Linked DNA regions of Solanum lycopersicum. The protein of the gene in region 1 binds, or shares a complex with, the protein of each later gene. Links are inferred from orthologs where the notes say so. Each region holds a gene or a part of one and is shown in the gene's direction. Other genes may lie near its edges.

Region 1 (4,160 bases):
TTTCGGAACGTTCCCAATCTACCAATTTTTCAATATTCGTAAGTAAGCAATTTTTTTGTAGACATTCAAATTATTATATGTCTATCATAGACGCTAAAACTCACACATATTTTCAACAAACTCCAAATCTTGATATATATTGGTATGCCAATTTTTTTTCACACTTGCTAAATTTCAAGCCAAGAACTTAACTCTAACCTCTTCAAATGGACTAAAACTCAATGTTAGATCATATAAAATAACACCTAATAATTAATTACCAGTCCCAATATATTAAAAACTAGCATTTTAATATATGAATACACGTGAACAAAATTTCCACCCATTGGCAGAAGTGGAACGCCCCTCCCCTTTTCCCGTTTTTTTGTGCTATTTGTTCTGCATGCCAATTAAAGCATTCCCCCATTGTTGGTACCTTTAAATTCTGAGGTGTGAGTATACCCACCCGACCTGAGCATAACTCCAAGAAGACAACCTCTGGTTTCAAGAAATTGATCACTGCCTTAACTTCTTGGCAGGATTCCGAAGAAACGTGAGCAGTGCTAACAACATACACATCGCGAATGCCTCCATTGGCAGAAGATTGGTTTTTTTTTCCACATCTCCACCAATTCTCCCATTATCAATATAGCATAGAATAATAATACAATCCCAAACACTCCGACAATATATTACTATATATAGAATTGAAAAGAACGAATATCTCATATCTTTACCTGAACAATGGCTGTGATTTTCTCCCTCTCGCTGGTAGCCTGTGATAAGGTTTCGCCTCCTTACTTTTCGTTTTTTCTTTTCTTCTAAATAAGAAATTATTAATCGTGAAACTCCACTAATCTATTATCTAATTATTTATTTAATAAAAGTTTCATCAATTAGGTACTCATAGTTATCTAAAAGCTTAAAAATAACCCTTTAAATTTTCAAAAGGAGCCAAACTAGTCCTACTTCTCAAAACGACCTAGCGGGTAGTTACAATAACAATATAGGAATACAATAAAATTTCTAATTATAAACAATAAAATAAATTAATAGGGTAAATATGTAATTTGTCACTTTAATACATGTATAAATAATACCCGCATAACTTATTTTACTTTCTACCTTACATAACTTTATACATAGATTCCCTCATAAGTTATGTTGATATAAATTATATAAAACTACAAAAATGCAACCAAACATGATATAAGTTATGTTGACTTTTCTACCTAAACAAGAATTTCTACTAAATATTGCATAACTTAATACATTATTTTATACATGAACAAGAGACAAGTTATACCATAACCAAACAGTGTTGAAAAATCACTCAAAATGTGATAATGTTAAATGCCCAAACAAGTAGGTACATAGCTACCACAATGGATCATATTATCTTAGAAATATACATACAGAATTCATGAATAAACTCAAATAGACAATTCACTTGCGTATTTGATTTTTGTTAAACACATTAGAATTGAAGTTTTGATTATTTTTGAAACACAAGTGGGAGAAGGAGATAATGTTGACGGTAATATATATGCGGACCTACAATGACACGTAGCAGATGAAACGTGTAGATAAAGAGTAGCTTTAACGTGTGGTCATCAACTTGGTTTCCCTTTGATCTTTCAAAAATCAAATTCCTTCCAACTCCTTAGATATTTTCTTTTTGTAGTAGACTAGATCCGAGAAAATTTCAAGTCACACAATCCAAATCCCTAAAAATTTGGATATTTATATCTCTTTCCTTGCATATATATAAAATTCATATAGATCTTTGTAAAACAAAACAAAAAGTGCACCATTTTTCTTTTTTATTTTTATTAAAATAATAAATGGACATGGTGGCGAAGGTACACGTGTCAACGCACCACCTACTACCGAGCAGTAATGTTTTCCGGCCTTCGATTGTGAAGGTTCATGGACGACGTAGAGTTTTTGTACAACCTTGCAGGAGCTTTAAGTCTGATGATGCTGAGTATGTGAAGGTGAACAAGTTGGTTGGAGCTATTAGGTCTGCTGTATGGAGTTGTTCAAAGCCAAGTTTGAGAACTGAAAATAAGCTTAGAGAAGCTATGGAGATGTTGGAAGAGAGATTATTCTGGGTACATATGTTTCTTACACATCTTTAACATCAATTGAGAATGGGAAAAAGTTAAATTTGTATTCCAATCTTGCAGTTGGCTTTATATGTTGGAAGATATATTATAACAATGATGAGCACAGGTGTTGTCATGTTCGTTGGGTTTCAGTTGTCAGGTTAGCAAATTCATTTATCATCTTTTGAAAGTTTTTAAGGCATGGATTGATTGGTAACAACTAATTCTAATTGTTACAGGTGGAGATAGCCAGATGAATGAATTGATATGGTACAGCTGGCTTGGAGGAATTATTATCGGCACTATGATAGGATCCAATTTAGTTTTGGATGATGTTGCTCGAGCTGGCCCCCGTAATGTCCTTATAACTGGAAGGTATAATACTTTACTCATACCTTCATTGTTTGTAATTACCATTTTAATTATTTTTTGGTGCAGTACAAGGGGACTAGGGAAAGCTCTTGCCCGCGAATTCTTACTTTCTGGAGATCGGGTCATTGTTACCTCCCGCAGGTAATTAATTGATTATTTGCATCCACTTATTTTGTTTAGCATCTCTTGTAAATACATCATTCCTTAACACAGCCCGGCATCTGTCCGTTTGACTATCGAGGAGCTTGAGGAAAATCTGAAGGAAGCTGTCAATGCTGCCACCGGCTCTGCTAGACTAAAGTTGGCACATGCAAAACTGGTTGGTATGGCTTGTGACGTCTCTGAACCTGTTGATGTTAAAGAACTGGGCAAGTTTGCTGCAGATGAACTTGGTTATATTGACATTTGGGTGAGTAATTTTCTTTTTCTTCATAGCAAAAGACCACCACAACAACAATATACCCCGTCAAATCCTACAAAGTGGGGTTTGGGAGGGTAGAGTGAGTGTACACAGACTTGGACTTTACCACTACCTCGAGGAGGTAGAGAGACTGTCTCGAGAAGACCCTAGACTCAAGAGCATTAAACCCAAGTAAAAGGAGAGAAAATATTGGAAGTGTCAAGAGAAAAACAATAACAGTAGGATAATCAAAATACAATACACAACATATGACAAGAACTACAGGGTTGTGAGTAGAAAATACAGTCATCCACATCCAGAGGACTTGTGAGGAAAAACAGCCTCTTTCCTGGTTTGTTGTTCTGTTTTCATGCTTCTAAAGGTTGTCTTTTATATAGGTAAACAATGCTGGGACAAACAAAGGCTTTCGACCCTTGCTGGAGTTCACCGACAATGATATTCAAGAGGTATCCATGTTGTTGACAGTTCTCATATGTTTATGTTGATACTCTACAACTTCTTCCATTTCTAAACTCTTGCAAAATAATTGCTTTCAAGGCTGCATATATAATAGAAGATGGATCGGGGGTGGGTCGGTATTAGGGTGGGGTATATTAAATTGTCAAGTAAGAGCTGCTTTTGTTGTTTTCCCCCCTCTCTTGTGGAAGGGTGGGTGGTGTATGCACTGTGGGTTTTCTAACTGTTCAGTTGCAGAACTTTGTTAACAAATTATTTTCCCCGTCCCCCCAACACCTATATGTAGTTTGTATACTTTATATACCAGGTCACTCATTTTAACTTTCCGTTTTCCTGGAATTATCCATCAATATGTACTAATGCCTTCTTTTAACTACTACTTGAAAATTTCCCCGTTTCGTCATGCATAGCAAGGTGTTCATGCTTGTTGACCTTTTCAAGTTAACACTCCATGTGCATATAATAATCAACTATCTGCTGTGTGTACTTGCATGATGGGTAAGCTAATATTCTAGTAAGTATTTCTGGTCTGTTGCTTACCAAATTTTTTTATACAGATTGTCTCAACAAACCTGATTGGTTCTATACTATGCACTAAAGAAGCCATCCAAATCATGAAAACCCAAAGCGAAGGTGGACATGTCTTTAATATGGATGGTGCAGGTTCTGGAGGATCTAGCACCCCTCTAACAGCTGTGTAAGTTGATTGTTGTGGTTGTAACTTGGAATGCTAGGTTATCTATTGTAAATAGCAGATCTTTACCATTTATTCATCTAATACTTTTCTAATGGATATTGATTTCGGTGTTATCATCTTTACTGTT
Region 2 (4,243 bases), on another chromosome or scaffold:
TTAGGTTTGCATGGTATTTGGATTTATCCCATGTTATCTATATTTTACGAAAAATTATGCGATTAAGCAAACTTATACAGCTTAATTACTCATTATAGTTATAGTTTGCTATAATTACCACATGCGACTAACATTAACCATTAATTATGTGGGCTGACTTCGAGTTGTATAATTAGTCACGTTTGTATAATTATCCACATTCGTATAATTCACAACTAACAATTCTTTGTTTGATTTATATTTCTATACGATGATTTGTATTTGCATATGAGATAATTTCCTTTGGTTTCTCAGTTTTGTCACTTTATATATTCAATCTTTTTGTGTATAGCTTTCAAAAGTTTGTATAAACGTGCACTTTTTTTTTATAATATAATTTATTTAATGTAACTATTTAAAGTCAATAAATGTATATTTATATCAATTCGTTATTTTGAGGTGTTTTTTTTCATATTTGTATAATTTTAAACTTAATATTGCTCAATCATGCAAAAACACGGAATTATACAAAGGTACCCACGAATTATACAAACGAGATGCGAATATACAAATTATTGCCCTCTCTCACTTGCCTCTCTCCTCCCTCTCCCGATCTCGCTTGATTCTCTCCTCTCTCTCCCAATCTTGCTCGTCTCTCTCCTCCCTCTCACAACCTAGCTCGCTTCTCTCCTCCTTCTCCCAATCTTACTTGTCATATATACAAAACCTATATGAATAATATTCAATTATCTAACCAATATACATACACAATTTACCTCTATCCCATTTCTACCCTCTCTCCTCCATCTCTCAATCTCGCTCATCTCTCTCCCTCCTCTCTCAATCTCGCTTGCCATATATAGAAATACATATGTATAATACACAATTATCTACCTGATATACATGTGTAATTCACCTCTCACTCTCTCGCTCGTATCTCTTATCCCTCTCTCAATCTCTCTCGTCACTCTCTTTCTCTATAACATATAGCTACGAATTGTAATTAACAAATTATAACTATGAAGCATAATTAGGCTATTTTTGAGTGAATATATGCAAAGTTCCTTTTTATATTATGGACCAATTCAAGTTTTTTAAAACTATAGTTATAAATTTGATAAAATATAATAATTTTCATAGATATAATTGATAAATTAAGAAATGCATTAATTTAAAGTCAAAATAAATTCATATTGCGAGAACAATCATTATATGAGATACAAACCGTTTAAAAAATCATGATAGAAATTATAAATTTTATTTACATATGAAATAAATGACTGGTATATATATATATATATATTGTATTTTTAAAAATCAGAATTTTGAATTAGGATTTAAAATACAAAAATTTGATTAAAATAACCATGTTTAAGATATGTTTAATCAAATTTTTGTATTTTAAATCCTAATTCAAAATTCTGATTTTTAAAAATACAAACGACAGCGTATTACATGGGCCACAGCACGTGATGTTCGTTTGCTTCCCAAAAAGCAAAGAGATAGCAGTGAACATGACAGTCCTCCTGCTATGGCTGTTCCACTCTCCTCTGCCAAATTTCACACTTCAATTCTCACACAATCACTCCCCTCTTCTTCCTCTCGTTCTTTTTCCGTCGGAAAACGCTTCTGTTGCTCGTCGTCATCAACTTCCATGGAACATCATGAATCGAAATTTAAGGAATTTCCTTATGCATCTGTTCCGCATAGAGAGTTAATGGTGGAACTTGTATCGACTGTGGAGAATCGTCTTGGAGAGTCTCTACTTCCTTGTACTCTGCCTTCTCATGTGCAGTATTTTGAGAATGAATCTGCTACTGCTCATGCTTCTCTCTATGTCAGATCTGGAAATTCCTCTTCTCAGGTACTCTCCGACTACCTCCTCAATTGATTCTACTATTTATTACCTATTCATTCGTTTTTGCAGTTGTGTCAATTATATGTAGTATGATATAGAATTACTTCCTGTTGGATGTTTTGTTGAATTAGTATATACAGGGTGAATAACAAATCTATGGACAAAGAAATTGATTTTCATAATAATAAAGTGTGATACCAATAGTTTAGAACCCTTATTTTCAAGGAAAAGTTTGTCTTGGGACTTAATGACGACACTGAAGTGCACATTAAGCGAAGTGGTCAACATGTGTAAGCCTTGCTTCAAGGCTTGAGCATGCATAAAGTATGCAACCAAAAAAAAAACGCCAAGAATTTTCTCCTAATGCCCTTCAATATGAATGAATACACTACTATCTTGTACATAGTGAAGTTGATAAAGAAAACAAGAAAATTATTATGTACTATAGAATAATGATTGAGAAAGCTAGATCTTGTCATCTTATTTTAGTGGATTTGGCTTATGCAGAAGAGTTAATCCATTACGCATTGTGCTTTTTGTAGATTGTCCTTTTTACTATGTATGCTAATTCTTTTAATAGAAGTAACATGAATTGAAATGCCAAATACTTATCTGTATAATGTGGTGATGGGAGTTAAGAAGATCAGCAAATGTATTTTTGGTTTTATTCACCCAATGAAGTCAGACAAGATTTTTATCAAATCTGTTTCCTTTGAGCTAATTTCAAATTGAGTATTTCTTGTTCAAGCTATATATCTTGCACTTTCTAGTAAATAACAATCCATTCGTTACAATTAAAAAATATATAACAAACAAAATTCGTGAATGTGCTGCAAACTCCCACTAATATTTTAATAGTTTGCAGTTTGTTCTGTGAAATACATCTCAACTAGTTTTTCTGTGATCTTGTCAAAGTAGTTTGATCTCTGCTTGTTCCCCATTCCCTAGCTTCAGGAGCTGTAGGGGGAAAATTCATATGATCTGCAATCTCACCTTCTCACCATTACCATTCCCAACTTCAATATCTGGCGGCACTGAGTTTCCCATCTGAATAGGTGCTGAGGTAAGTTGTGAACTAGTATCCAATCTGGAACAATAGAAGTTTCTTGCTCTGGTTTAAAATTCTGTGCACATCTCAGGATTTCATAGTGTATGACCGACCCAATGTGAATGAATGACTTGAAAAAATGTTATTGAAGTCTGTTTTGTTACAGAAAGTCAATGTAAATAGTGTTGTAGTTGTAGTACCCAATCTCGACTCTTCCTTTCAATTGAAATTGACTCACAAAAATTTTCCTTAGTTCTTTCATAGTAGGTTCCTTTGATAAATTTACCCACAATAGTCATTTGCAATTATTAGCCAAATTCACGAAATAGTCATCAGCAGAGAAATATATGGTTGGCTTTCCGAGATGAGTCTCATGCCTAATTTCAACAGGAGCTTCGGCGATTGAGGCATTGGCAAATCAGCTTGAACCTTTCTGTGAAGGTTGGTTTCGATGAAGTAGCACCCTTTTACCTTTCCCTGCTAAATTGGGATGTTTCTGTTGGAGTTGAATATTGGGGTTCTGATTTATCAGTGGCAACAGGGTTATGATCAGTTCCATTGATGTTGGTCGCGTCATCCGATTTCAATTTTGAAGAGGGTGTGTGAAATCTGAGGACACCTTTGGCTGAGGGGTTAAATGATTTTGGTGGGTGGATTTTGAATGGGTAGTATTTTCCTGTTGAGGTGTTGCATGCGTGATCTGCAAAAGAGTAGGCTGAGTGTTAATAGCAAGTTGGAGGTTCTGGTGAACTGTTAGGGGCAAGCTTTAGGAGTTTATTATTGTCCATGTGTTGTTCCTCTGAAGGATTGGAAGAAATAGGGGATGATGTTTATTGGTGTTGTGGTTGTTGGTGCTAGAAGGAGTTGATTATTGTGTGTTTGGGATTTTTCGGCTGGATTGGTTCAAACTAACCATTGGGGGTTGTAGGAGAGCGGGTGCGTTTTACTGAGTTGTCGGTGTAGGAGAGACTGCAGTTGGTTGAGATGAGTATGGATTGAATGTATAACTAGTGTTTTAGGTGGGTTCCGATGCACAATTGGTGTTTGCTGAAAAGATCAATAGATCTTCATAGAGAGAAGCTAAGAGAGTGTGCATCCAAAATTGACCAACCAATGTAACTGCTCGATTTCAAGAATTATCCTTGTTCATAATTTGTAGTTCTCTGCAAGTTGCATTCACCTGATGTCTTCTTGGGGAGTTATACATAAGGACTGCAAAAGCATCAGGGAGATAGCAATTTGGATCTGGCTTCTGTTCATTTATTCTTATCCAGTTCCATTCCTCCGCTTATAGTTAGTCATTCCATTGAGAGTTCTTTGACAAGTCCATTTAGTGTTCTTTTTCTAATGCCTATAAT
Region 3 (4,096 bases), on another chromosome or scaffold:
TTCCCCTTTTTCTTTCTATTCAATGAAAAGAGATAATAATGAGAGTCTGTTGAAACTGGCTCAGGAGAAATTAGCATGTTTGAGAGTGATCCAGGAGCACCCTAGCTGGCCTGGACACCATTGTTATCGAAAACTCTGGAGGAAATTTGCATGTTTGAGAGTGTGATCGAGGAGCGTCCTATCTAGCTTGGACACTACTGTTTCAAGAAAAATTGTTCTTTTAGAGATTTTCAGATATGTAAGTGTGATGTTGCTTTATTGTTCAGAAACAACAATATGTAATATGCTGCGTGGAACGGGGCTAGAATTTTCAGTAAGAAGTTTGAAAATGAGGGTAAAAAGAAAGGGAAAATTGAATTTTTTTTCCCCCCCTCTTTTTAATGATTTGGTTTAAATGGAAGAAGGCACTTACTTTCATACCAAATTCAAGTAAAAGAAAAGGAAAACATTGGTGGGAATTGGGAATAGAACTAGATTTTTTTTTATGAATAGAAAAAAAAAGCAAAGAAGAAAATTGTTGCTACTAGGGCGTGTTTTGACATATTTTCCATATTTGGTTGGTGAAATCTTTTAAGAAAATGACTCTTTTATTACTGTACTGTATTGTTAAATTTATTATTAGATAACATTGAAAAATTTTTATTTTGTATAATCATCAATTTGGTGTGACTGTATTATAATTTTATTTTTCTTTCTTCTCATTTTGTTTAATAATTTTATTTCATCTTTTTTTCGATCTTAGATCTATCTTATTTTCTTGTAAGTATTGATTATGACATTCAATCGATAACGATAGGATATATTAATATATTTTTATCAAAATAATATATAATGTAATATGCTACGATATGATATATTATGAAATTATACTAAATAACTTATCTAAATATTGTGACATTTCAAGATCATTTTCTTTTCCACTCCTTAGTCCTTACTCCAAACACATGTTAGAAATATATTTTTTTAAAATTTTGAGTTGAAAGTGTGTAATAGAAATATTTTGCTATTGACATTTAACCATTGATTTTATCTCCTCTTTACTTTCACAATTATTATCATGTGTAACCTAATCAAATTTGAATTTGTGTCACGTTGAGAATAAAGAGCTCTCTAATAAAAATACGATTCCATATTCGAATGAGTCAAGCCTAAGAACTCTAACCAAATAAAAGAAGTATTTACCACTCCGCGTTAACACGGTCTCTTCTTCTCCCTAAAGCACCACCACCACAGCTTTCATTTTCTGGGCCCTCCCTCACAAACCACAAAACTCATCAAATTCCAATTCAAACACATTGTTCATAACTTGCACGCAAATCCTTCTTCTTCTTCTTTACTTGAACATATGTGTATTAGTAACACAAAACATTGATTAACTCAATAATGGTTTCTTCTCTGTTACTACCAACTCCTCAAATTCTTTCAATTTCATCTTCCTTACAGTCTTCACTACCTTTCAAACCTCATAATTTTCTTCAAATTACAAGGAAAAAAAATACGCTAATTTCATCTCCTCTTAGAGTAGCTGCACCTCCAACAACAACAACAGCTACTGAAGAAGAAGAGAAGCTAGATTCAAAATCTAGTGATATTGAAGATACAGAAAATGATGAACAAGATTCGTCGTCGAAATTCTCTTGGAGAGATCATTGGTACCCAGTTTCATTAGTGGAAGATCTCGACCCGAGTTTACCCACACCGTTTCAGCTACTGAATCGTGATATAGTTATCTGGTTTGATAAATCTGGATCTCAGTGGGTTGCTTTGGATGACAAATGCCCTCATCGTCTTGCTCCTTTATCTGTACAAATCCACTTCTCGATTTTGCTTGAGGATACTTTTTATATGTGTTTTTAGCACTCCTCTTTAAAGTTTTTGATGTATGGGTGTTTGTAGGAAGGGAGATTAGATGAAAATGGTGATTTGCAGTGTTCATATCATGGATGGTCATTTAATGGATGTGGTTCTTGTACAAGGATACCTCAAGCTGCATCTCAAGGACCTGAAGCTAAAGCTTTTCAGTCTCCAAGAGCTTGTGCTACTAGATTTCCTACTATGGTTTCTCAAGGATTACTCTTTGTTTGGCCTGATGAAAATGGATGGGAGAGAGCTCAGGCAACAAAGCCGCCCATGTAAGTTTCTGAATAATTAATTAAACTAGTTCGAAGTTATGCTATATTATTATATATTAATCTCTACTATAGTGACTTGGTTTATATTATAATACTAATCGATTATCTTTAGTACAATGACTTGCTTAAAATATGTTCTTCGTATTTTATTTAAGCTATTGCTGGATAATGAGATTGATTTGGTAGCTCACTTGGTTGATGCCCTGCATGTGTGGTTGAAGAATCGAATCCCATTCCCCTACCTATCGCGTTGATCAAGATATTATAGTTGGTAGACTTGAGTATACTTTTAGTGGGATTTAAATTTGTTGTTTAATGGGATATTTGTAGGTTGCCTGAAGATTTTGATAAGCCTGAGTTTGCAACTGTGACAATTCAGCGTGATTTGTTTTATGGCTATGACACTCTCATGGAGAACGTCTCTGATCCTTCTCACATTGATTTTGCACACCACAAGGTATTTTTTGCAACATTTTCATTCCTTTTTGGCTTCTAATATAGTTAAGAATCCACTTTCAGACCTAAGGTTTTATCCTTACATGCTAAAAATGAATAGTCTTCAGGGTTAGTTCTGAGTTCTCATAAGCTACGGGTTGTTTGGTTTTTGATTTCCATGAAAATATGAACTCAAACTGTTTCACATGTGAAAAAAGTGAACTTTTGAACTCTTAAGCCAAGTAGCTCGCTGTGCTTGGCCAAAACATATATAAGGTCGTTCCTTGGAGGATTTTCTCTTTATCTGGAACGGTATAAAGGTGTAGCTTTTGAGTGTTGCTCATTGTTTTATACAAGTTTTCATAACCTTACTTTCTGTGCAATTATTAGGTAAAAGCCATACTTGGAGAGCAATAGGTAGAAGTACGCCATGGGAATCTTAACTATCACTCTTATGACTTCAGTGCTACTTTTATCAATTTATGGATAGTTTTTCGATCTTACCATCTTAAAAGATGAAGCTGATAGGATTAGGCTATCCGGAGTGTGGATGCTGAATAACATGTTTTGACTCTGGATGTTGCTTCATATTCAGCTGACAGGATTAGGCTCTCTGGAGTCTAGATACTGAACAGCGTGCCAGACGATCCTTAAAATAACCTTTACAGACAATGTTGTGTGTATCTATCTGTAAATATAAATTTCAGAAAGATCTGAAGTAGAGCTTTCATCTTTTCAGTCGCTAAACGACTTTATTATTAGCAAAGGGCTTCATGTATCAGATAACAGAATACGGTGTATATATAGATGTGCATTTTTACTAGAGTGATACTGCTGCTGCTTGCTTGGTGTCCAACAACACATGTCTCTTAACTTACTTGTTGATATTTTACAGGTTACTGGAAGGCGAGACAGAGCAAAGCCCTTGCCATTCAAGATGGAGGCATCTGGACCTTGGGGTTTTGCTGGTGCGAACAATGATAAACCAAAAATTACTGCAAAATTTGTCGCACCTTGTTACTCAATGAATAAGTAAGTTCATCATCCTAAAGTAGATCAAATTTCTTGACTATCAAGGCAAGCAATCATGTATAAATTAATCATCTTTAGGTAGATATGCTTGCATCACATTTCTCTTTCTCCTACTTCACAGAGTCTGTTATCTGCTAACAAAACGAGACATTAGTAGCATTATGTATCTATACTCTTATGGTTGTGGGCATTATATCCTGTTCAAGTCGGGTTCTTTAAGGTATAGCTTTCCAGACCAGGTGCATGGTTTGTACAAGGCTTTGCGCATCAATAGATGGAAGTTCGCTTTGTTGTTGGTATACATGTCTTTATATCTTTGTATGAATTACGTTTTATATGTAAATGTTAGCTCCATCCATGCTGCAACTATTTGCATAGTATGACTAAGATCTCATTGGAAAATTTTCCAGAATAGAGATCGACACAAAGCTTCCAATCGTGGGTGATCAGAAGTGGGTGATATGGATTTGTTCCTTTAATGTACCTATGGCACCAGG

Evidence for each region.
Region 2: probable chlorophyll(ide) b reductase NYC1, chloroplastic (region 1) and red chlorophyll catabolite reductase, chloroplastic share a complex: the UniProt entries of both Arabidopsis thaliana proteins name them as parts of the SGR1-CCE-LHCII complex. The link is inferred for Solanum lycopersicum from reciprocal best matches to the Arabidopsis thaliana genes NYC1 and ACD2.
Region 3: probable chlorophyll(ide) b reductase NYC1, chloroplastic (region 1) and lethal leaf spot 1-like protein share a complex: the UniProt entries of both Arabidopsis thaliana proteins name them as parts of the SGR1-CCE-LHCII complex. The link is inferred for Solanum lycopersicum from reciprocal best matches to the Arabidopsis thaliana genes NYC1 and ACD1.

What each region holds. Positions count from the first base shown.
Region 1 is NC_090806.1:26,308,527-26,312,686, forward strand, and holds the start of probable chlorophyll(ide) b reductase NYC1, chloroplastic, read left to right. Parts: upstream 1-1,358; 5' UTR 1,359-1,823; coding exon 1,824-2,093; intron 2,094-2,168; coding exon 2,169-2,247; intron 2,248-2,326; coding exon 2,327-2,462; intron 2,463-2,525; coding exon 2,526-2,600; intron 2,601-2,672; coding exon 2,673-2,868; intron 2,869-3,257; coding exon 3,258-3,326; intron 3,327-3,893; coding exon 3,894-4,033; intron 4,034-4,160. UniProt on the Arabidopsis thaliana protein: Involved in chlorophyll b degradation. Belongs to the chlorophyll catabolic enzymes (CCEs).
Region 2 is NC_090802.1:10,423,280-10,427,522, forward strand, and holds the start of red chlorophyll catabolite reductase, chloroplastic, read left to right. Parts: upstream 1-1,443; 5' UTR 1,444-1,510; coding exon 1,511-1,843; intron 1,844-4,243. UniProt on the Arabidopsis thaliana protein: Catalyzes the key reaction of chlorophyll catabolism, porphyrin macrocycle cleavage of pheophorbide a (pheide a) to a primary fluorescent catabolite (pFCC).
Region 3 is NC_090810.1:57,602,860-57,606,955, reverse strand, and holds the start of lethal leaf spot 1-like protein, read left to right. Parts: upstream 1-1,294; 5' UTR 1,295-1,383; coding exon 1,384-1,803; intron 1,804-1,896; coding exon 1,897-2,132; intron 2,133-2,462; coding exon 2,463-2,589; intron 2,590-3,462; coding exon 3,463-3,599; intron 3,600-4,009; coding exon 4,010-4,096. UniProt on the Arabidopsis thaliana protein: Catalyzes the key reaction of chlorophyll catabolism, porphyrin macrocycle cleavage of pheophorbide a (pheide a) to a primary fluorescent catabolite (pFCC). Works in a two-step reaction with red chlorophyll catabolite reductase (RCCR).